Linked DNA regions of Saccharomyces cerevisiae S288C. The gene in region 3 interacts genetically with the main gene of each other region. Each region holds a gene or a part of one and is shown on either strand. Other genes may lie near its edges. The genes, in order: PUT1, IME4, AFT2 and MIT1.

The links.
Region 1: mutations in AFT2 (region 3) and PUT1 together harm fitness more than expected from each alone (negative genetic interaction), as found in Saccharomyces cerevisiae (one large-scale study listed by BioGRID).
Region 2: of AFT2 (region 3) and IME4, changing one enhances a phenotype caused by changing the other (phenotypic enhancement), as found in Saccharomyces cerevisiae (one study listed by BioGRID).
Region 4: mutations in AFT2 (region 3) and MIT1 impair growth when combined (synthetic growth defect), as found in Saccharomyces cerevisiae (one large-scale study listed by BioGRID).

Annotation. Positions count from the first base shown.
Region 1 is NC_001144.5:421,463-429,584, reverse strand, and holds PUT1 (proline dehydrogenase), read right to left. Parts: upstream 4,400-8,122; coding exon 2,969-4,399; downstream 1-2,968. Other genes in the region: DPH6 (diphthine--ammonia ligase), read right to left, coding at 199-2,256; RRN5 (Rrn5p), read right to left, coding at 4,811-5,902; SLS1 (Sls1p), read left to right, coding at 6,112-8,043.
Region 2 is NC_001139.9:138,542-146,972, reverse strand, and holds IME4 (mRNA (N6-adenosine)-methyltransferase), read right to left. Parts: upstream 4,728-8,431; coding exon 2,925-4,727; downstream 1-2,924. Other genes in the region: protein phosphatase 2A regulatory subunit CDC55, read left to right, coding at 1-1,164; COX13 (cytochrome c oxidase subunit VIa), read right to left, coding at 1,776-2,165; YGL193C (uncharacterized protein), read left to right, coding at 4,746-5,057; histone deacetylase HOS2, read left to right, coding at 5,247-6,605; YGL194C-A (uncharacterized protein), read left to right, coding at 7,012-7,254; GCN1 (Gcn1p), read right to left, coding at 7,430-8,431.
Region 3 is NC_001148.4:167,588-171,491, forward strand, and holds AFT2 (Aft2p), read right to left. Parts: upstream 1,752-3,904; coding exon 501-1,751; downstream 1-500. Other genes in the region: YIG1 (Yig1p), read right to left, coding at 2,183-3,568; CSM4 (Csm4p), read left to right, coding at 3,897-3,904. UniProt on the Saccharomyces cerevisiae protein: Transcription factor required for iron homeostasis and resistance to oxidative stress. With AFT1, activates the gene expression in response to low-iron conditions, also called iron regulon.
Region 4 is NC_001137.3:140,079-145,203, reverse strand, and holds MIT1 (Mit1p), read right to left. Parts: upstream 3,313-5,125; coding exon 1,312-3,312; downstream 1-1,311. Other genes in the region: YEA6 (NAD+ transporter), read right to left, coding at 1-877; YEL008W (uncharacterized protein), read right to left, coding at 4,312-4,692. UniProt on the Saccharomyces cerevisiae protein: Transcriptional regulator of pseudohyphal growth.

The DNA.
Region 1 (8,122 bases), on a different chromosome or scaffold from region 3:
CCTAAACCATCATCAATAATCAAATTATTACAGAACACACCTTAATTGTGCGGCGTATTCTAAATTTTACGTGTTCACAATATGGTGTTGTTCCTATGATTTGCTAACATATTTGGGATCTGTCTATCATTTACACCGCCAGGAGCGTGGACAGCGTATATCTATTAAGTTTATAAAATATAAGGCCTACATTTGGAGTTAGGAACGAATATGCAACCCAAAGCGGTGTTCTTTACCACGGTAATCAAAAAGTTTCTCCACCGGATAGTATCCAATGTGATGGTGGAAAGTGATGATTTCTTTGGGATTATAATAGAGGGTAATCTGGGCTGATTTTGGGGTTTTTTCCAAGATAAGTTCTAACTCCTCTCTACTATCTACAAATCCCGTAATAAAGTTTCTATTATATCCAAACGCACTAACTGTAGTGTTATGAAAACCTTCAATATTCAAATTCAATTTCTGGAATACGGTTGAAACATCATCATTCTCTTCCCTTTCTTTCTTGTCGGAATCATTATCGTCCACTATTAATCTCTTACAAGTAACACCACCAAATTCTGCAACAGCGCCTCTAGGTAATTCAGAAATCTTTACAAGAACTAGGCATTTTTCAACATCATCAGATTTGTCCATCCATAGATCTGATCTATGATTCATATTTGAACAATAAAACGCCCATGTTTTGATGACAGAGTCGAGAACCGATTCGTCTGAAATATAGCATGTCATGAGTAACTTTTCTTGAGCTCCTATTGTTTCACACAAAGTATCAAAATGTTGTAATGCCAAAACTATTTGGTCAGTGAGAGGTGTTCCTAATATTTCCATTGACTGCGGTACTAGTCCGATTTGCCCACTGATAAAACTGACTTGGTTTGCATCATCGTTTAACCAAGTACTTTGGGAATATGGTCCGATATTACATGGAGCCCAATATGAACGGCCTTGAACATGTAGTCCGCCCTTATTCTTGTTGATTTTTTCTTTGCCTGTATTTTTTACATCAACAACAACTGATAACTGTACGTGACAATCTTCTGGCAAGCACTTCGAACCTACGCATGCTCTTGATGGTGGCAAAGGTCCGTATTTTGACAAATCTAAAAATTCATTGTATATTTTGTTGATTTTTCCGAAATTAGACATATCTCTAATTAATAATGACGCAGATAAAATATGATTCCGTGGAATCTGGTTGGAATGCAGAATGTCGGCTAGCTCAGTAAAAATATCTTCACTTTGCTTCTCGACCGTCTCACTTTTACGTGATTGTAGGTTAGAGATGTACAACTTATCATTGGTTTTATTGATTGTCGTTTGTGGTAGAGCATTCGACATGTGATTTTCAAATCTTTGTTCTCCTGTTTTAGCTTGTTGCTTTGGCAAATTTTGGGTTAAATCTTGCCAATTATTACCAAAAATCGAAGGTACAGGTAATTGATCTAATTGGTTGAGTAAAAAACTTTTGCTCAAATTACGCGGTTGAAATTTTACCTTTAACCTTGCATTGTGAACTTCACCATCGCTACATTTGACAATATCAATTAATTCCAAGTATCCATGTTGGAAAAAAGGGGCATCCAAGACCATTGTCTCAAACTCCCCACCCTCTCCACAGATATGAACTTGATAAAGTTGGTTAAGTTTCTGTAACACCGGTTGCATCATAGGCAAGGACATTCCTAAATGTTTCTCGTTCAATCCAATTGCTGCCACCTTGATTATCCTGGCGTCAAATTTATTTCCTGAATTAGTATCGTTTTCAACATTGTTAACATCCTTGGACATAAGGCACATTTCACCCATTAGTTCGGCTTGATCCCTTTGCCATAAATAGCTTAGCACTACTAGACCCAATCTGGAACAAACATTTTCCACTCTGGTCCTCTGGTAAGACGATAAGATGGCACCTACACTAACAGCTTCTAAATCTGGAATTTTATCTTTGACAGTTCTTAGAAGTTCAAATAGTTCTTCAATTTCATCATCCTGAGTAGCAGTATAATTCAACTCGACGTTGTTAGAAGTGTTCCGTAATATTGAGCGTCTAAATAGTGGAACACCAATACATTTAGAATAATAGTCTATTAAGTCATGTCCTACTGTTTGGAACATGAAAGAGTCTAATTCTTGCTCTTCTGATTCTTTTGGGTATATATTTCCCAGGGCAATCAATTCATGGTTGTTCTTCAGGCAGTGAAAAATATTGTAGAACGAGTCCTTCCCACCTGATATTAATGCTATAAACTTCATGATACTGACTTATTGGGCTTTGAATTTTGATATAGCTTTATCAAAGATTTCCGTTTGAACTAGCTATTCATCATCCATCAGATATAAGTGAAAAAAAGCTTCTTTAATAGAAGCTTAAAAAAATTCTCCGCGACGGGGAATTGAACCCCGATCTGGCACGCGACAAGCGCCCATTCTGACCATTAAACTATCACGGATAAGAAACACTGGAAAACTATGTATCCCAAAATCCCATACGTTGGTTTACTAACACTACTAGATGTATTATTCATAGGTACCCCAAAATCCTTACAAAGAGACAAGGCTGAGTGTATCAAGCAAAACCGCTTTAAATCTGATGTTCTGCGCTTTCTCCCTTTGATTAGATTCAGGTCTTATGTAGTTTATAGAAGATGAGTACCTTTCTTGTGCATAAGAGTTGATAATAAGCCTGACGACGACAAGCCACTTTCCTACCGATTTAGGATTGGCAAAACATCTGGTACTATTCGAACCCATAATCAATAGGAAGAAAGCTTTACCAACAGATTGTTATTTAAGTGGTTCAAGTATATTAACTCTTGATATCCGTGCGTTTACTTTACTATTAGTGTTATTATCATTACTTATATATAATATGTATAACTAGAACATCAGAATTATGTATGCATACTTTTTTTTTTTTTTGGTTTTTTGGTTTGTCTTTGAAATTGGAGTATATATTATAGTCCTCTCATAGGCCTACTCTTTTTGGAATCGACTTTGCTATGGCCTTGATTAATGGCCAGCCATTATCAGATCTCACAGCATCCCCGTTTTCTTGCAATCTTCTCAAAAGATAATCTTTAGTTTCCAATGGTGGGCCCCATGGGACATACTTGATTATGTTTTTAGCGCCATGGTTGGTAATTAGGTCATAGGTAACATTATCTGCCATACCTAGTAATTGCCCCAACACAATGTTCGATTTGGCATAAGAGTTGTCTTGGGTAGATTTTAGCAAATTAGTAACGAGCATTTGGGATTGGTAATTATGAGAGGCGACAACCAAGTGACCAAAATAAGAATCCTCGCCATTGATGATTAAATCATTGACAACTTGAGTGATGATACGATCGTAATTTTCGTCAGTGCCCGTTTTATCGCCAAAGATAATTTGGTTACGGTTTTTTTCAGAATGAATATAAGCACCACGAACCAGTTTCAGCCCAAGCTTATAGCCGTTTTCTTGGGCCAGCTTCAATTCGTGCAAAATATGGTCACCAGAGTCCCTTAGGTACAACTGCCAAGTACCGACACATGATATCAGTTTAGATGAAGTGGGATTGAATTTTTGAAATAAGATTCTCTGTAATTCGTAAACACCATTCTCCTGCAAATCATACTTCTCAGCGTCAATAGTGGAAACCATAAATGGGGCCTTTCTTTCAGGGTACTTCTTTAACAAAGATTGATTTAGTTCAAAAATCTCTTTTGTAATCTTAGAGCAGTTCTCGATCAGCTGATCCCTTTGAGCCTTGTAGGCGGGATTACTGAAATTGTACAGAACCTCGTGAGGGTTATCGACCAAAGCAGAGGGTTTTAGAGCGATATAACCTGGAGCAATGTCATTGATTGGCTTAGATTCCAGCTGGCCAATAATATTGGGCAGTAGGATGTTGTGGACAGAGCTGATTGTTTCCTTGACAATTTGGTCTACTGGAGTACTGGACAAACTCTTTGTACCTTCGGAATTTTCAATAGTTAATGAAAGCATCATGTTCGATATACCTCTCTTCTGCAGACGTTTGCCGCATTCGATGACCTCTTTAAAGTTCTCACCGCCACAGTATAAAGAAGAGACGAAGAATTTTATTACTGGGATGGGGATGTAAGGGAACAACTTAATGATCGTGTTCAGGAAGAAGCTGTTCAAGGTCGCAATACCGATGAATCCCAGTTGGAATAGTTCCTTCTTGGGAAGTGTCTGTAGAAAATTGATTGAGTTAGGAGGTGCCATCACACTATTGCCGTTGGCATTGGCGGCCGGAGTTTCAACCATCAGATTAGCAGCCGTGTTAGAGTGTGTCGGAGTCTTTGACACATAGGACCTCTTTATCAAAGGAAAGCATAGAGAGGGTATGCGCGATTTAGTAACTAATAAGGAGCTTTTGGAAGCTATCATTTCTAGCGTGCGTTAGTGTTATTACTATGTAGCGATGTTTATGATATATAAAAGACAAAAGAGAAGAGCTGCTACGGACTTGTGGAGTTTGTGTTCGGTTCCCAGCAAGCTTTATATAAGAAGGCAGAAGGGTGAGAAAATGGGCTTAGTTCATGCGATTTCTCCTGATAATAGACGATACTAAGTACAATAATGAGATGATAAGGGAAATAGCGCCACTCATCAATTGTTTATCATTCATTTTTCTTGTGTAGATATGCTTTTCGGGATGCGAAACCCGAGGCGTGGTAACCGGAAAGCCATTGCCGAAAGGAAATTCCAATCAAAAAAGCGGTGGAGCTAACGGAGGGAATAAGCGAAAGAATAATGAAAACAAAAATTATGTCCCTGCGCGATTTTTCGCATTGTGTCTCATTTGGATAACCATTTTAGCAACTGATTTTCATGTAATGCTGATCGGAACAAGTCCGCTTCGTCGATTTCATCCCTTTCTGCCTCGCTTTCACCTTCACTTGCAGTGTTATCTTGTTCTTGATTTTCTTGATTTTCTTGATTTTCTTGATTTTCGTCTTGATGGACTGGGGGCGCATCCCGTCTGGACAACTGGCTTTGTAGAAACAGATGTGCCATCTCCTTGGTGCGGAACAGTTTGCCCTCTCGCGGATAGTCTAGTTCCCATTTGCGCAGTGTCAAAACAATGCGCCTTGGAAGCACGTGTAGGTCACGTGATCGGGCTTCTGTGCATAGTGCACGCTCAACTTGCCGGCGAGTTACCACCGTCGGTAGCGACTTGTGTCCTCGAGATTCGGCCGCCCTGGCGCTGACGCTGCGGGAAGCCATACCCGCAAGGGCCGTGCACCACAGCAATGTACGTGTGTAGCGACTTACGCAGCGCTCCAAAGTCTGCGTCGCGCTGCGCGATAGCGGCAGCGCGTGGCGGGGCAAGGGTCTTATCTCCGCGATACGGCTGTGCGAGTAGATGGCCACCCACCTGCGTTTCCAGCTTTCATAATCGATAAGGCCCTCGCAGTGTCCTTCCTCATCGGCAACCTCGGCTGCGCCTTCCGTGATGGCCATCACTGTCTCGCTCAGTTTTGTCTCCAGGGCAACCCACTCAGCGCTCATTTCGTACGCAATGGGCGCTCCGTCGTCACCCGCCTTACGCGATCTCGCGCTCGCACTCGCTCTCCTTAACAACCTGTAATAACCTAGAATCTCCATGGCGCTCTTCCGAGGCAACAATGAGCGCCACTCGTCTACACGGTGGATACTATAGCGTGAAAGGCACCAGAAAAAGGTATTCTTCTCCTCGCTGTCCCAGTCTACACCAACGCTAGAGATTTCTACACCAGCATTGGCGGTACCCGCCTTTTCATGGATGCTCTTTACATGTACTTTGGAAGGATGGAACTCAGCTGGGCGGCCTGACGCGGCACCATTGTAGAATTCCTCGACCTCCTTATTGTACAATTCGACGTACTTCCGCAATTGTTGGTGCTCCATCCTAGGTGACCGTCGTATGCGCTGTGCTTTCCTAGCTCTTCTTCCACTTCTGTTTCTCTATACTTTTTTTTTTGTTTTTCACCTCGCCCGCCTTTTCTTATTTCAGTGAACTGAAAAAAAAAAAAAAAGTTATGTATCTTTAATGTAATAAAACTAGTACATAATATATACGGAGCTTGAAGGCACTGGAGAAAATATAGAGTAAGCATATGTGGAAATTCAACAAAAAGCTCGCCCGTCTTACTTACCGTCTTTATTCAAGCTCAGGCCCAAGCTCGCCCCTTCATGGGAAGAAGAAACTGCCGCAAAATCTGAAATTCGTCGTCTTGAACCCTACCCAATCTGGGCTAGTGAAAAATGATCAGAAGCAGCCTAGACACAGGCCGTCTAAGAAACGTAGCCATAAGGAAACTGGAGATAACAACCTCGATTTCGGCTCGAAACTCCTTGTCTTCGAAAAGCAGAATTCACTAGATTCCGCATTGAACTCCATCCGATTGAAGAAACCGACAAGCGCCAGTCTGCCCTCCCTGGAATACAATGCCCTTCTCCAATCGCTTACATCAAGCTACAATCGCTACCAACTGCGCGAGTTCATCTCCACACATCAGCCAGACTCCTCTTCACATCTGACGCACTGGAAGAAAAGCAAGCTGTCCCAATATATAATTGAAAAAATCTGGAATTGCCAACCAATTTCAACACCCACCACTCCCACAGGCATCAAGTCCACATCATTGACTTTCCAGTTCGATTCTCCTAGAGAAATTTTCCTTTTACTCATCACTCAAAATGGTAAAATACTCACCAACTTCAATAAGCTCGGGCTGACATTCATCATCTCCATTCAGGATAACGAATTGACCGTCAAGGGTTCGCCTAGCTTGCTCAAATACGCAGAAATATCCTTAAACAAAATATGGTCAAACATCACTCATGAAAATGTGCGTATGTATTCCCTCATGCCATCAAAAGACGTCATCAACCTTATTCAGAAGGAAACTCACACTTTTTTTGAATACCTCCCGGACTTGCAAATGTACAAGATTTCAGCCCTAAGCACCAAGAAAATATCCATGGCCAAAGTCTTTTTATTAAATGCCGTCGCTTCTAATCCTAACACAACTCAACACCACCACACAATAGCCTCACCAGCACTCAAGACAGAACTCTATCCGTTCAACAATACTCTAGAGAACTTGGACTGGCTAAACAAGTCACAAGATTGGGCAAGATTACAGTCAGTTGTCCCTAAAAATTGCACAGATCTGATGACTCCCACTGAAAACGCCACACCAGAATTGACAGATGCGCAGGTCAGCCAATTCGAATCTTCCTTGTCTAAAAATATACCATCTCTCTCCCCTTCCGACTCTATTTCCCAATCTTTATCAATAACGCTAGGTCACTCCTTACAGTCCGCGTCTTTTTCTAGTATTTTCCAACCTCTAATACATAAGAGTTTTATTTCAAAATTACTGAATCTACCAATGTACAAAGAATCATCATCATCAGCCGTACCTGTGCCTGTGCCTCTTGATCAACATCTAATAACAAATGCGCATCAATCCTTCATACAGCTGAACTTCACTCCTGTGCCGCCCACCTCTGGCTCCTCCTCGTCCCCTTTTTTGCAGATTTGGTTCGAGATTGACGAATTCGATAACATTGTTACCACCTCAATGAGGCCTCTTTTGAAATTACAAGAAAATTCTGTTATCTTAAGAACTCCACAATGCCAGACAGACTATAAGATCACGTCAGATTACATTCAAGATCTTTTACCTGATTTCGACCAGACCAATCCGGATGCTTGGTTATCTGAACAAAAAGGCCTCCAAGAATTTCTTCTCAAGTCACACTGGAAGTTAAACAAATATCAGAATCTTATGAAAAAAATCAACATTTCTTTACCAGATAACCTAATACAGCAATACCAATTGACTGATGTTTTGACCCATCGTGTCTTGAATTTACGATTTCCTACGAACACTGCCCAAGATGATAAATACATCATTCAATATTCAGATATCAGCCGCGGATTTTTGAACAATGGCTCCTACAGACAATTAGATTTCATCAATGTGAACCCCAGTGAAACCTCACTAAAAACCTTTATCAATGATGTTTTAAGCTTTTAAGTTTAACGGAAAAGAGTAATGACAAAACCGCATACCCCCCCCCCCTCCCCCTCTTTACCGCATCTACTCTATTTCCGAC
Region 2 (8,431 bases), on a different chromosome or scaffold from region 3:
CCCGATAACCATAACAGTAGAGGAGGCTCCGTGAGGGCTGTATTATCTTTACAATCGCTGAAACTGCCTCAATTATCACAGCATGACAAAATCATTGCTGCCACCCCAAAGCGTATATATAGTAATGCACATACCTATCACATTAATTCGATATCGTTGAATTCTGATCAGGAAACATTTTTAAGTGCTGACGACTTGAGAATCAATTTATGGAATCTGGACATACCAGATCAGAGCTTCAACATCGTAGATATCAAGCCAACCAATATGGAAGAACTTACCGAAGTGATCACAAGCGCTGAATTTCATCCGCAAGAATGTAATTTATTCATGTACTCTTCTTCCAAAGGTACAATAAAGTTGTGTGATATGAGACAAAATTCCCTATGTGACAATAAAACCAAAACATTTGAAGAATATTTGGATCCAATCAATCATAATTTTTTTACAGAAATCACGTCGTCAATTTCCGACATAAAATTTAGTCCAAATGGTAGGTATATTGCATCCAGAGATTATTTAACTGTCAAAATTTGGGACGTAAATATGGATAATAAGCCTTTGAAAACCATAAACATACATGAGCAATTGAAGGAAAGATTGAGTGATACCTATGAAAACGATGCGATTTTCGATAAATTTGAAGTTAATTTTAGTGGTGATAGTTCAAGTGTAATGACTGGTTCTTACAATAACAATTTCATGATCTATCCTAATGTAGTAACTTCTGGTGATAATGATAATGGCATAGTCAAAACTTTTGATGAACACAACGCACCTAATAGCAACAGCAATAAAAATATCCACAACAGCATACAAAATAAAGATTCTAGTAGTAGTGGCAACAGCCACAAGCGTAGGAGTAACGGACGCAACACAGGCATGGTGGGAAGTAGTAATAGCTCTAGAAGCAGTATAGCGGGAGGAGAAGGAGCAAATTCGGAGGACTCGGGAACCGAAATGAATGAAATCGTGTTACAAGCTGACAAAACAGCGTTCAGGAACAAAAGATACGGTTCGCTAGCGCAAAGGTCTGCAAGAAATAAGGATTGGGGTGACGATATTGATTTCAAGAAGAATATTTTACATTTCTCATGGCATCCAAGAGAAAATAGTATTGCTGTTGCAGCAACTAATAATTTATTCATTTTTTCCGCATTATAATTATAATAATTCCTTATTTTCCCTTACTTTTTTTTATCCCATATCTTCCCCACATACTACTACTGTTTTAATTGAAATTTAAATTGAACTTGAATTCAAATTTTTTAGATTTAGATTTGCCCCTCATTGAAAATCTTTCTATCTTTATTTTTTTATTTTATCTTCTCTACTTATATTTTTATTCTACTTCAAGCGTGTTTTATTATCATTATTCTGAGACTTATACCATTTTCTTTCGTTTTTTTTCTGATTAGCTATCTTATAAACACTGTATCAATTATTAATCCGACATCCCTTTATCAGGACTTCTTTCATCACTTCACCAAAACGCGTGGAACATAAAAATAAAACGTCTTAAATTCTTCTTCATAGGTGCATGTTTATGTTTTTAAATGCTTATACATTTGCAATATAATTATATATATATAGATGTTTAAGAACGGAATGATGCTTCGCCGCCCAAAATACCTAGTACCTTTAGTTCCTATCAAAGGATTAATCTTTTTTTATTTTGAATTTTTTTTATCGAATATAAAAGAAATAAGTAAGAATTAGTAAAATTATCATAAATAAAAATTTTTCGAAAAGTTTATTCTCACTTAATCAATTAATTAATCGTCGTGCTCGATGTGCCTGTTGACAACAGGATTCCAGAATAATGTCTTATCACCGTCACCCCAGAAAAAAGGCTTAGACCTGATATTCATAAACTCGTAATCCCTTGGCCATTCGGAGTCTGGCACATGTTTCAAATGTTCACGATGCTCAGCATGCTCCTTTTCAACAAAGTATGTGTTCACAGCTGTTAAAGCAATTGCTGGTAGGGCGACCCAAACTGAGATTTTAACCCACATATTAGATGTGTCCTTCGCATGCTTTTCAGTGGCCATTAATGATTCTTTAAATTTTTGAGCTGCCACTTTATCTGGTGGGCCAAATGCAGGTTTCAAAGCATTTGGGGGTAATGAAGATGCATATCTCTTAGCACACTGTCTAAACATTTTTCTATTGTTTGTTATTTGTATAACTGTAGAACTGTAGTAATATGATTTTAAATCTAGATAAAACACATGCGATGTGTAGTGAAAACGTTCAAGGCAACGTGTATGTTTGTTATATTTAATGTATCCCGTCACTCATCGTGATCACATCCCAGCTGGGGGTTATTTTTCGATTCTCTTAGACCGATACTCCCAGTACCGCCTCTCATTGGTGGGAAAAAAAATTACCCGAAATTACTATATTGTGTCAATACCGCACCATATCACTACATTCATAGCGGTATAATCGAAAGGATAGCGGCGTTGGGTTACTACTATCGTCTACCTATTCAGCAGGATAGCTTACTCTGTATTAGCAAATAATAGTCGTTCTTCGCTATTCCCACAGTTTCCAGTAAGAACGATTGGAGTAGAAAAAAAGAATGGTAGAATGCGCCATGGGAAAGAACCGACCAAGAGTGGGAGCAAATAAGTCAAGTAATTACATTAGTAGTGTTTAATGGTTGAAAATATGGCCAGAACTAGTATTAGCTTTCTCCAGGCGACAACAATTTTTAAACATCCGGGTAATAAATTGTTCCAGTTGATGTAAAAAAATACACGGACTCGGATAATAATTATTGGACATAAACCATATCCTTCTCTATTCCAAAGTTTGTCTAATACAGACCAGGAAACCATTTACTTCCCGCTGCAGTCTTTTTTATGACCATCTTTTTTATGCAATGCTATTAATGTTTAAAAGGATTATTTAACGCTTTACTGAGCAAAATATAGGTTATTTAGTGTTTGGAATTGTTGTTTTTGTTGCTGTTTGGATTCAAAGGGAGTATGTTTTTGATTCATAGGATTCTGCTTGGCCTCAGCATAATACTTACCACTCCCCATATCCATATTATTCCAATACTGCTGCTGATGCTGCTGCTGTAATTTTGAAGGTTGCTTTTTGTCGATTTTTTTAGTACCAGTGTGGCTGGTTCCAGTTTTGCTCTTCATAAACTCCTGGTACTTCCTCTCGACATCCATTTCGTAAATGCAATTTCCTGTCAACTGGTTTCCGATGGTAAACCAGCCAGGCCGCGTATTGTGATCCCTTCCGAATATCTCTAGTTTTCTGGCATGGGTGCCTGCCAACCGTTCTGCTATACCATACAGTTCATCAGGCTTTCTACTAGTCTCTCTGGTCATTGATACGATCAAATCGACGTCAATATGTTTGTTGATCCACTTTGGATTACCCTTTAAGCCCACCAATAAATGCTCCTTAGAATGATTTAACCAATGACCCGTACGACCTGTAACAATTGTTCTACCCAGTTGGTTTGTCTTTATCCATGAAACTTCATTTATCACGTTGTAACCCCAGTTATTCAAAGACTCTTTACCCAATTCTATAGCTCTACCCGTCACCCAAAGAAAAATAATACCTTCATCTTGTAGTTCGTGCAAAGGCAAACCTAATAGTTCAATATCGTTGCAAGTACCGTATGGTAGGTTCATATGGATATTCCATGCAGGATCTGCAATAACTACCGAAAACTTTCCAAGAACCCTAAAATCAAATTTCCGCACATCGCAACGGATCCACTGTGCAGGTAAAGCCTTTTTGATACAATGTGCGGAGCAATTGCCCAGAGTATAAAATGGAATGGAAACGTTTGACCGTATTCTTTTATTTTCACTCGCAGTTTCACGATCAGCTCGCTCTTGCAAGCATGACGGAATATATTGCAGGTAATGAATGTATCGACACGTATTTAATTTATGACAGGTATCCAAATAGGAACAATCTCCTAACGAAATATCAGTTTGTGGTTTGATATTAGGGATAAAGTGAATTTTTGATTGAATGCACTCAATTAATCCTGGGTGATTTTCCTGACATGCGGATATTTTGGACCATTGTAAAGAAACGATTTTGTTATTGACAATGTACACCGAGGTGGACAATAGAGATGCATGCGAATAGTCACTACATATCGGGATGTATTCAATGACCTCGGTCGTGTATTTGGCTCTTTCTTTAGCAAGCTGAAAAGATGATGGTTTTTCCCTCAATAAATTTTGTAAGCGATTGCTCAGTTGTTCACGTGGTAACCCCTGGTTGCTGACGTTAACGTCCCAGTTCAGGACTCCAAGCAGTCTACCCAGCAGTTGGTCTTTTTCCGAATCAGCTTCCGGTTTTGTTGTTAAACTCGACACTTTTTCTTCACATGAAGAACTGGACGATTTTAATGTATAGTAGAAGGCATGGAACTTGTTATAGAGAATTTTCAAGGAAAAAACGTCCAGGTAAACAATTTTTTCTGGCCTATCTGCCACTAATAGATTCTGGTCAAATTGAATGGACTGCGGCGTTGCAAATATAATATCCTGAAGATCATTCCAAAACTGTTCAAACTGTAAGACCTCGTCTTTATCGTTTCTCAACTTCTGCATCTCATCATCGTATCCGCCACTGATGTACAGTGAATACACATCTTTGAGCTGTCCAGAAAGCGGTGCTCTTAGGATGTCATCATAATTCTGGATCAGAAAATGTACTAGTTTATCGTTAATCATAGCCTGCTTACAACTTTTATGAATTCAAGTCTGAATGCCAATTCTTATTTTTTTCGAAAACCCCCAATGCTAACTTATATGGTCCGTTTTCTTTACTGTTATCCATCTCCCTTTCCTATAGCTCCAGCGGTTACCGATCTTCCAGAATGCCGGGGAGATCTTTCTCTTTCTTTGTTTATAACAAGTTTCACAAGCACGAAAGAAAGAACAATACTGTACGCCAAAAGCCGCCTAAAGACGCATATTCCCGTCAATTTATGTGACCGGTACCACTATATACCTAAGGCACCTCTATACCAATGTAGAATGCCCTGTTTATACTCTATATAGAGGATTCTCGATGTTCTTTGGGGCATCGTTAAACGTGATATTCCTACTATGTTACTAAATGTTGAACTGAAAGCATCTTGAAACGATTCTAATCAGTTTTAGGTGTGTCGCCAATGTACAGTTATAGAAAAGACGCCAGATTACTCAAGTACGTTAAAATCAGGTATCAAGTGAATAACAACACGCAACATGTCTGGAACATTTAGTTATGATGTGAAAACAAAGGAGAACGAACCATTATTTGAGTTTAATTCTGCTTATTCTCCCAGGGTATCGTATCATTTTAACTCCAAAGTTTCACATTACCATTATGGTGTTAAGCATCCAATGAAGCCGTTTCGGTTAATGCTAACGGATCACCTAGTTTCCTCTTATGGATTGCACAAGATTATGGACCTTTATGAAACAAGAAGCGCTACCAGAGACGAATTACTACAATTTCACTCGGAAGACTACGTGAATTTTCTCTCGAAGGTTTCACCAGAAAATGCAAACAAACTGCCCAGAGGCACACTTGAAAATTTTAACATTGGAGACGACTGTCCTATTTTTCAAAATTTATATGATTATACAACACTATACACTGGTGCGAGCCTTGACGCCACCAGGAAACTAATCAACAATCAATCGGACATAGCGATAAATTGGTCTGGTGGTCTTCATCATGCAAAAAAGAATAGTCCATCTGGGTTTTGCTATGTAAATGATATTGTGCTTTCTATTTTGAACTTATTACGATATCACCCAAGAATCCTTTATATCGATATCGACTTACATCACGGCGATGGTGTCCAGGAGGCATTTTACACCACAGATAGGGTCTTCACGTTGTCTTTTCATAAATATAATGGCGAATTTTTCCCAGGAACTGGTGATCTGACAGAAATTGGTTGCGACAAAGGAAAACATTTCGCATTAAATGTACCCCTAGAAGATGGCATAGATGACGACTCATATATAAACCTTTTCAAGTCAATTGTAGATCCTCTAATAATGACTTTCAAACCAACACTTATTGTCCAACAATGCGGTGCGGATTCCTTAGGTCATGATCGCTTAGGATGCTTCAATTTAAATATAAAGGCACATGGAGAATGCGTAAAATTTGTCAAATCATTTGGTCTACCAATGCTAGTAGTGGGCGGTGGAGGTTATACACCTAGAAATGTATCACGGCTTTGGACCTACGAGACAGGAATTTTAAATGATGTCTTGCTACCAGAAGACATCCCCGAAGATATCCCATTCCGGGACTCATTCGGGCCGGATTATTCACTTTATCCTATGTTAGATGACTTATACGAAAACAAAAACAGTAAAAAACTACTGGAAGACATTAGAATACGATGTCTAGAAAATATCAGATACTTGCAAGGAGCACCAAGTGTCAGAATGGATGCTGAATGCATACCGACACAAGATATAAGTGCCCTGACAGAAGAAGAGGATAAAATCATTCAAGAAATGAATGAAGAAACAGAAGCAGACAGTTCAAATAGGCTAGAAGAAATGGAAAAAGAAAACAGTGGATTGATTGCCTTTTCATAGTTTAAGAGTTTGCTATTCGGTTAATCTCCCGTTTTTTTTTTTTTTTTTTTTTTTATTTTCCTTTTTTTTTTTTTAATGTTTTTAGCATATTATGTAGAGTGTTAAGGCCTTAAAAGTTATTTGCATCATTGTTAAAAATGACATGTATTGTATAAGAGTTCGGCTCTTCGATGCCGTCAGAAACATTTTTGGAAGGTGCACTCCGTATTCGAGACACTTCTGAAACGGACAAGTCACCAAACTACTCTGAAAACAACAAAAAAAAGCCTTTTCTTATAATTTGAAAGCTTCTCCCGCAGCATTATCGATATCGTGAAACTTCCAAAATCTTTCTTAATTAAACCGGACATCAGTGTCTACAACATTAGAGCAAGTCACTCAGTTCATGTAATACATCTGGACAATTATGTCTAATAAAGAGATAACTTGTATCAAACCGTTTAAAATTATTGCTCTAATTTTATTGATAGTTCTAATAATAAACCTCTCTTATAAGTTATTTCTGAGACGCTATTTAAAGTCGACAGTTATTTGGTGTTTAGGAATCGCCAATACAGATCGTAACGATATGATGTGGTGGCAAGTCTCGCCACTATTAGAGCGCTGGGTTTGGCAGTTAGTTGACAATTATGAATCCGGGTACGAATAATTATCAAGCCCTTATTAGCTACAATGCTGGGAGCAATAGATATATAAATAACCCTTATGCACAGCGGAAGACTTCAAAATATCTTTGTCTTTTATATCATTATGTGGTATGTATTATATAACGAGAATAATATATCAAATACAAAAAGTAACGAGGTTACCACATTGAATTTTCTTCAAATATCAGTGGTTAATTCAACACCTCCGACAGCCCATATTTCTCTTTCATCTTCAAATCTGTCACTAAACATTGTTTCCGCGTCTCCTCCGGCAGCAATCCTTTCTCTTTCGACATTTGCTAACCTTTTACCAACCCTCTTGGTATAGTCCCCAACAGACCGTAATTGAATTGTAGTACCTGTGACAGTTTCGATGCTGTTACCGCGATCTGAAATTTTAGCAAACCACTCGTTGAAAGTATGCATGTCATCTTCTTCAACCAATTTGAACAAAGCTAAATATGCTTTTTCTGCTGCGAGCTTAATTGGGATAACAGGATCACGCAAGCAAGAAAATACAGATGGTCCTACTACATCGAAGTATTGCTTAATGCACTCGTCAAATTTGAATCTGGCTAGTGTTCTTATAACCACCAAGGCCAACCTTCTTACATCCGTAGAATTACTGGCTGGTTGTAAGACAGCTTTGCTCAACTCATTAATTAACAGATTGATGTTTTCATCGCCAATTTTGAATGGTTCTGCAGCATCCTTTTTAACAAATGGAGACCTCTTTTCTCCTTCTAATAAAAGTAATTTACCAGCAGCAATGGTACCATTTTCTCCGAAGTAAACATCAGGGGAACGGATTGCATTCAAAATGTAACTTACAAATTCGTCTATCAAGCCCGTATTGAATATATGTGTTGGTGCATCTTTCAAAAAGGAATTCAAAGTCAGAATAGCAAACTTACCGGTTTCTCCATCTAGATCTGCATTCAAAACCTTGTCTTGCAATATCTTGTGGGCTTCGTCGTTCGACAAAATCTCTGATAACGATCCGATTAATTTAGCGTAAGCAACTGCCAATTTGTCATTGCTACCCAACATTTCTTCCTCAACTAAATTGACAATGTTTGTCTTAGAATTTTCGTTTAATTTGGAACCAGCCTTCATAATAACTTCCAGTAAAGCTTTAAGCATCGCAGTCTTGACACCTTCATCTGTGGCTTGCTTGGC
Region 3 (3,904 bases):
TGCCCTAAATATCTTCTATACTACAATTCATTTTAATTCAATATCATATTTAAGTTGAGGGCATTTAGATCTTAGAGATTCATCTAAAAATAGGAGGGGTGATGTATAGAAAATGTTCGAATATCATTCCTCTGCTTTTTTCTATATGATTATTTCCTATATGAGCTTTTACTTACTGATCTCATGATCTCAGTGCAAAAATTAGGGGACCGGCACGCCTGAAAGTTTTTTAGATAATTGAATGTTGCGGTGCATTACCTATGAAAAGATGAAGCGCACGTGAACCATATTATAATCAACAAACTTGAAGAATAAAACTTTTGAGCGCATGAAGCCATGATATATCTTATTTGTATCGACATGCTTTAAGTCCTCCGTAGCTTTAAAAAGTCTAAGGTCCAAAATCCCTCGATGGTGCTGATATCACCATTATTCATGTCCATCAGATCTTGTCACATATTTAAACGTGATACCGTTTTAATGAGTTGAAAACTAAATAATTAATATTTTGATATTAAGGCTGGGTCAATAGAATTTAATTCATTAAAATGCTCATCGTTGAAATGAAGCAACGCTTCGTAGTTGTAGTTTAACATGCCAAAATTTTCGTTTCTCTCTTTGCCTAAGTTCGTAGCAATATCTGTATCAGCAGTTGGTGCGTTGCTTTTGGTATCTTTGGAAACTTTAATGATCTCATCTCCATAAGGAGCGTCTGTTTCCATAAAATTTGGTGAAGATGTTGTTGATTCTGACAGGGCTATATCCATTTTGCTTTGTGACAAGGGCCTCGTTGGTGTTGAAGGAAGTATACAAGAAGAGGACGAAGGACCTGGTGTAGGTTCTGTCAAAAGTTCCATCAGGCCTTGGTTGTAATTTTGGATGAAATTGTCGTTGCAAAACATGTTCGTAAAATCAATTTCGTTTAAGTTCGTTAAAGAATCTTCTTTCTCTATCTTTACACAGGAATTCCGCGTTTTGAAATTGTCTAAAAATCCGGTATCATGTAGATCCGCATCCAACTTCGTTTTCAACCTTGGCCTAGGTTTCGAATTATCCATCTGTCTGGATTTTATTTTAGAAACGGAGTTTTTATTTGTTTTGAGCAAATTTTTTTTAGACGTCAAAGGGGGGTTTGATAGTGGGAGAAAAATGTTATTGAAAGCTTCAATTTCCTTGGTTAACCCACAGTCACAAGAAATAATTGGTGTGACGAGTGGTAAGTTTAGACTTGCTTTATATTCTAATTCATCAAATGTTTTGATGGCTTTTTCGTCGTTCTTCTGACGAAGATTTTCCTTAAACTTTTTATAGTCATCCGTTTTAGTAATCAAATCAAATCTCAGCTCATGTGAATGTATGTTATTCATAACAACCACGTTCCACTTCTGTAACCGCACAGAGTAGGCTGCTCTAATTCTAAATGGACATGCATGGGATCTTGAAGAGGAACCTTTGGATTTAGGGTTCAACCCTACTTTCGATCGTACTGACCTACACTTAAAAGTAACTTTGCTACTATCTGATCTTTCGATGACTATATCTATTCCTTGAGGATAGAATATTTTCTGTAGCCACGGTTTAATCTCGTGCCTGTCCTCAAAAGACGGAACTGGGTCTAAATGAATAAGTTTATTTTGGTCTTTAGACATCATAGATGCTAGATTATCGGGAGATGCTGTTAACTTCATTTTCCCTGTTTTAGACACTGATATTGGCACAGATATTATGCTCTTCATCGACTTTGCTTTCATTTCTTGGGGGTCGCTTTCTCTTGATTAATTTGCGCCAGAGTTTCTGGTCACTACAACAAATTTTTTGAATGAGTCGTGTTCACTATTATGTATAGGTCCATCAGTTTAATTTGCACAGTTTTTGCCTTAATCAAAAGAAAATCAATTCTGACTAAAAGAAAGCCACTTTACCGATCTCGGCCCACGAAACGATTTTTTTTTTTACGGTGCTTTTTTCTTTCTTTTTTTTGTTCTTTCTATTTTTTCCCTTTGCTTTTCGCACAATACCGCTTACCGTCAATCGAATAATGAATGGCTCTGGTATCGTTCAATAAAATGAGAAACGTGCTTCCAGTTCAAAACCAAACAGCTCAGACAGGTTAAAGTGAAGAAGTTGAGATATATACAAATTAATGTCACTGTTATTTTTTTTATTTACATTTCCTTAACCTTTATTTAAGAAGAATTGTTTGAATGTTATTGTCATCAGTAAGAATTGTCAGCACTGGGCTATTTACAGAGGGACAGTTACCAACAAAGAGATCTTTGACACTCCTTATACCGTATTTGGCCCTAATGTCTGAGTAGCCCACGAACAGCCACCGTTTGAAAGATATAGAGTACTTGTATACCGATAACGCTGTTCCGTAGAGATGTTGCTCGGTTATAAAAATATACTTCCCATTGTTTGCTATCTGACGTCCTGTTCCTGAAGCATGGACATGAAGTTCTTGTGTCTTGTAAAATATTGGATAAACCTCGCTGTCTGAGACGGGTGGAGAAGAATTTGAATTCTCTATGGGGTCTCTTGTTGGAATGGACAGATATCTCATGTTGGTTTCGAGTAAAATGTGATTCGTTTTAAGAAGATAGTCGATCTTTTGAACGTCTTCGTCTATTTTAAGCATAAAGTTTATTTCCTTGTTTAGCGTGGAAGCATCCGATCCTAATAGATTCTTGCAGTGGAAAATCATATCATTTCCTTTGTATAAAGTAAACTGAGGGAAATTTAAAACGGACTTGACATTTGTGGTCGTGCGTAGATCTACAGGCAAATCAATGTTGGTATGGAAACTTTGAAAACTTCCATTGCTTTGTTGGTGATCTAAAGAAGTTATTAGCAGCCCATCTTTCAAACTAAAAGAAACAACGAAATGTGGCAACAAACCTGCCCAGACATTTAATATAGATAGGTGGCTTTGATGAGAGGAAGTTGAAGGATCCTTCAAAAGCAAGTGATTGTTTACGTTTCCGTTCAAGTCGCAGTTTAGCTTTAACAACTTTCCATTCTGAAATCCAACTAAAATTTGAATGGTGTTTGAATTATAACCAAAATTGCAGTCCATACATATTATTGCGTCCGATAGCAGTAAATTCAACTGCCCGTAAAATTGCTGCTTAATAAAAATCAAATGTTGGCCGTTAAAGTCATACAGCAGTAATTTTTTGTCCTCTGCTTGATTAGAATAAAAAATCCAGTACTTGCTATTGAAATTTCTAAAACTTTTGAAACTTTGTAAATCGTGGGTAGTAAAATAGTTATTAATCCGTACAAATTCCAACCCACGGTTACTTCGAAAAACATCTTCAAGTTCCTTTTCTTCGTCACCATCATCGTCTTCTTCAGAATAGTTTCCAACATCTCCACCATCCTCTCCGACATTGCTAAAGGTAAGCTGGTCGATATGTTCCTTTATCGTATCTGGAAGCTGTGGGTAATCATTATTCACCGTGTAGTTGCCATACTTGCTCGCCCGTTCGTCAAATACGTTCTGATATCTCGTGTGGTAAAATTGCACCCCCTTCCCATCCTGGTATATTTGCATAGGTATACCCATGATTTCGTTATGATTATTTTCTTTCTTGAGGGTGTTTAGCAATACATTATTATCCTTGTGATTTCGCTTATACACATGTAGGATTTCCTCCTTATATATTACAAGTGTGTCACCATTTCCGGCCCACCAATAGCCGCCGACCTCCAAATTACCCCAAATAAAAAAAAAGAAAACTCCGGAAATGCGGGGTTGAGCTGCAATATAATAATAATATGGCAACTTTAGCCGCGCAATCGAAGATACAGTAAATATAGTAAAAACGTGTCTGCAAATGGCTACTTTCGATCCTTCTTCCCAAAAGGCAATATTGCAGAAGAAGAACTAGAAAATGATGGA
Region 4 (5,125 bases), on a different chromosome or scaffold from region 3:
ACGTAATTTTAATCAATGGAAGGAGATGGCGTTGAACAGTATTTGGAAGATCGGATTTCAGTTGCATTCGAGTTCGAAGTATTTCGTGAGGATAAGTCACGGTAGATGCTACCATTTTAGATAGCATAGAGGCCAATATTAATTTTTGAAAGTTTGAGCTCGTCACATCTGTCGATACGTCAGTCGATTCTGAATATCCGAACCTTATTTTTAAATTTTCATATAAAGGAAACTGTATAGCAACGTTCAGCATCCCCAGCAGGGCTGGTACTAAGCCGGCATAAAGAGCCTTAGCACCCTCTTGTTGAATGATCTTTCTAAATGTGTCTATGGTACCCTTATAATGGGTGGAATATTTACCGATACCTGTTTGCAGCATAAGTCTTGTTTTTACTACCCAAATCGGATTTGTCGCAACTGTAGAGATGGCACCTGCAGTAATTGCAGAAGAAGCGTTTGAGAGAAACGGACTATGTGGGAAAATATCGACCGAATATTTTCTACAGAAATCATAGACGGAAAAGTAAATCATCAAAGTAGGAATATAACCTAAAACCGTCGGCTGTAGACCTTTATAAAGCCCAGCAGCACCTTCATCCTTGAAAATAGTAGCAAATGTACCAAAAAACCCCTTATAATGTTGACTTTGGTGTGTCATGTTTTGGAGACCTTGTGCTTGTAATCTTGTTTTCGCAACGTCAAAAGGACAGACCAGCATTGCGGATAGTGCACCAGATAAAGCACCTGAAATTGCAGCAACTCTAGGGTCAGCATTCTTTTTCAGCCTATTTAGTTTTGTGGGAATCGCATAATTTCCATTAGCTAGTGACGCATTTTTTGAGTTTTCTAATGTCGTTTTATTGTCTCCATTATTCATTATATAGCCGTGATGTATATTCCGCTTTTCATCAAACAATGAAAATAAGTTGAGAACAACTAATTTCGATGTACGTCCAAATTATATGTTTATTTGCTTATATATCAATTTGCTTATCTTTTCCACTTCATTTTTCCACCAGCGCGAGTATGTCGAGAATCATTTTCGACAGCATCTTCAAAAAATACACTAAGCTATCTTTCGTAGAAAATGTTGACAGAGGGGATTCTTTAATAAAGATATTTTATGATGTCAAAAGGAATAGCTTTTTTCCATAGGCAAATGAAGATGAAATTAAAGGCATGATTACGTAAAGAAGCGAAGTATATAAAACTGTAAAATGAAAAATGATATAATTTTCATGAGTAAACCCGATACTCAAAAAGGCAAGGAGAAGAAAAGAAAATCGGAGTACTTTTTTAAAATATATTTACTTATTGTGTAGTAGTTGAAGTGTTTGTATTGAGGTTGTTCATCGTATCATTATTGGTGATGTTTAAGATATTATTGTTCGCGTGACCCATAGCGAAGTTTTTGTGGTCGTTGGGCTCTTGTTGATAGTGATGATGTTGAGGATCAGATCCAATAGTGCTCAAAGTGTGACCAGAGCTCATTATATTTTGTTGAGGCGTCGCTATTGGATATACAGTGGGCAAAGGATGTTGGTGCTGGTGTTGATACATAGACGGATTTTGAGCACTTGCCATGGCATATTGGGGGAATCCCTGGTAATACACTTGCGATGGAGTGTACTGAGAATTAGCGTATGCAGGATTTGATAGCATGGTGCCTGAGTTAGTGCTTGTAGCACCAGAAGGTTCTGCATTCGTATTTGAAGTAGTATTTTCTTGTGCCCTCTTGTATGCAGAAGCAGAAGAATTGTAATAAGGAACATTCACATTCATAGAATACACCGGATAAGGAGCTGTAGAGGTAGCAGAGCTTGCACTATTATTATTGGCTTGATGGAGTAGTGGCTGCATACTGGATACGGGAAGGACATTCTCGGCTGTACCAGGAGTGCCAGTAGCGCCTGCGGCTGCTGATGCTGATTGACTTTCAGTAGGATGCCCATAATAAGGGTGTTGAGTTGAGGAGGTGGAATAGCCTTGATTCTCGTTCGTTGAAGCGTTTGTTACAGGGTTTGGAGGTTGTGTGGTATAATAGTTAGGATTGTTTATCGGAATTGTTGTATAATAAAATGGATAAGAAATTTGTCCTTGTTGTTGCGGATTAATAAAGTCACCGGTGGTGTTATAAGCAAAAGAGGCGTTATGGAATCTATTTGGATTGTTACCGTTCCCTGCATTAGTATTGACATTATTAATATTATTAATATTATTATTATTGTTATTATTATTATTATTATTATTATTATTATTATTGTTACTATTATTACTATTACTACTGTTATTACTATTATTATTGTTATTATTAACATGTGTATTCATACCAGTAGCGTTAGTGTTATCAGGAGATTGAGTGATATAAGGTGGATTCGCCGTATACATCAAAGTTGTTGATGGTAATGCGGGAGCAAATTGAGTGATTGGGTATCCAGAGCTTTCATCATTTTTATAATAATAATTTTTGTTTGCACTAGTAAATTGATTACTGCCAGCAGCATTTATATTAGCACTATTGTTATTCGTGGAAATAACAGTATTCAGGGGAGTGGAAGAGTTGCTTTTATTGTTTATATTATTAGGACCATTACCGGTGGTAGTGGAATTGTTTTTCACGTTGCCTAAGGTTGTATTTCCCATCGCGACAATTAGTTCCTGTGAAGGTCTAACATCTTTCAAAAAAGGAGAAGCTTTAGGAGTCACTAGACAATTTTGTTTTATATCTTTTACAGAATAATAAGAGACAATATGTAAATTTTCAATCGAGTTGAATGGAGGTCTCTTCAGCTTCACAGATATTGTCTTCTTCACCAGGCCAGTATACTTTAAAGGTAAGTTCGAACGGTTTGATGGAGAAATGGAGGTGTCTTGCTCTGACTCAAAACTTGAATGGCCCATAGTAGGTGGCAAATCAAACTGGTGATTCTTCAAAGGAGGTAGCTTGATTTTCGACGAAGAAGGGTTATTTCTCGCGCCAGAAGTTCCATCCGTAATGACGGCGGAATCAGTACTGCCACTCGAAGTAGCATTAGCATTAGACCCGGCGTTTTCCTTGTCTAGTTCCTTGTATATTAGAAACTTGCCTGATATTCTTGATGGAGACCAAGAAACGCCATCAGTCCATCTCTTGATGCCCGATATCTCTTCAATAAAAACGAATATACTACCTGATACGATCAAATAAGGTCTTTCTATTTCATAAGGCCTTCTTGGTATATGCTTTAACTTGCCATCCAAAGTTGCTTGAAGAATAAGCAAAGCGTCATCTTCATCTTCAATGTACCCTTTGAAAGTAGGCTCGATATCCATTTAGAAATTTACGTTGTCCTTGTGTCTAGTTGAAATGTTGTTTTGTGGAAAAAGATGGTGATAGGAAAGATGATGCAGTACAGGTATTTATTTTATCCTAGTAACACAGTATAGAAATGGCGTACAACAGAGGCGGACCAAAAAAGAGAAGAAAATAGGCTATATTGTCGATAGTTGAGGCGAGATATTAAATAATATTGATAATCTTAAAAAAGACAAACAAACAATCAAAAGGCTACCGGTGAACAGGCTGTCTAATTCACAGATAGAAAATAAAAGGGTTCGAAAACAGAAATGGAAGGGAAACGATCGGGAAACGAAAAAATACAAATAAACAAAATAGCTTTCTCACTACCTTCTCTCTAGCTTAAATTTAAATTTGATGCAGTAACGAGGTTTTGAGTTGCGCAAAAAAAACACCAAAGAAGGGGCAAGATGAGGAAGATTCAGCCAAATTGAAACAAACGGCACATAACTGTACACACTTCGATTAAGAAGAAAAGATAGTAACCAACGAGAGCGCGCAAGAATTCAGCGTTAAAATTACAGTTACAATTACAATTACACTTACAATTTTACAGTTTACAGTTACAGTTGCCGGCGGAAAAGGAGGAAGACAGGCCATTTTTTGCCTCGTTAACGAACTTTAAACGTAAAAAATAAGAAATGTACGGAGACTGAGAGGAAAACCGACCTGCGGGACTACGTAAATTGGGAAAAAATAAACAAAAAACTACGCCTCCACCCACACCTTCCGAATAAATGGGGGATTTGTAGGAAAAAAAAAACGCAAAATTTTTTCTTGTTTCGGTGAGTTGGACAGATCATTGCATACGTAGAAGACTTGCATCTTCTGTTCTTCGTCATCAAAACGTCTGAGTTGGCTGGCTCAACACCTCAGAATTAACCCCACGCGGGCAGTCTGATATGGATCGTGAGACCCAGCAAACGTGGGGGTATAACTACAATCTATTTTAGCCCACTGTTACCAATCGAAGCTTACAAACAACCAACCAGTGGCGCTATCGTCTCATCCATTATCCACACGTTGCTGTGTCGACTTGCCACGCTACATGACATTATCTTTGATAAACAGATCCACGGCATGTATTCAAGCTGTAGAACAGAAATATTGCCGTGTTCCGTTACCGGAGAACAATCGATGATGCCCCCATACCCCATACCCCATGCGTGGACGCACAAAGCACCCATACCTTTTACAATGCCGAACACCACCGGCATCTTGTAAAAATTAGAATTATTTGTCCGGGCGTTGACAATGCCTTTCTTGACATACACACCGCCTCTCCAAACGCCAATCTCCAGCCAATTAAATTGAACTGCTTTCGAAGATCTTCGGGGAATAAAGTGCATGAGCATACATCTTGAAAAAAAAAGATGAAAAATTTCCGACTTTAAATACGGAAGATAAATACTCCAACCTTTTTTTCCAATTCCGAAATTTTAGTCTTCTTTAAAGAAGTTTCGGCTCGCTGTCTTACCTTTTAAAATCTTCTACTTCTTGACAGTACTTATCTTCTTATATAATAGATATACAAAACAAAACAAAACAAAAACTCACAACACAGGTTACTCTCCCCCCTAAATTCAAATTTTTTTTGCCCATCAGTTTCACTAGCGAATTATACAACTCACCAGCCACACAGCTCACTCATCTACTTCGCAATCAAAACAAAATATTTTATTTTAGTTCAGTTTATTAAGTTATTATCAGTATCGTATTAAAAAATTAAAGATCATTGAAAAATGGCTTGCTAAACCGATTATATTTTGTTTTTAAAGTAGATTATTA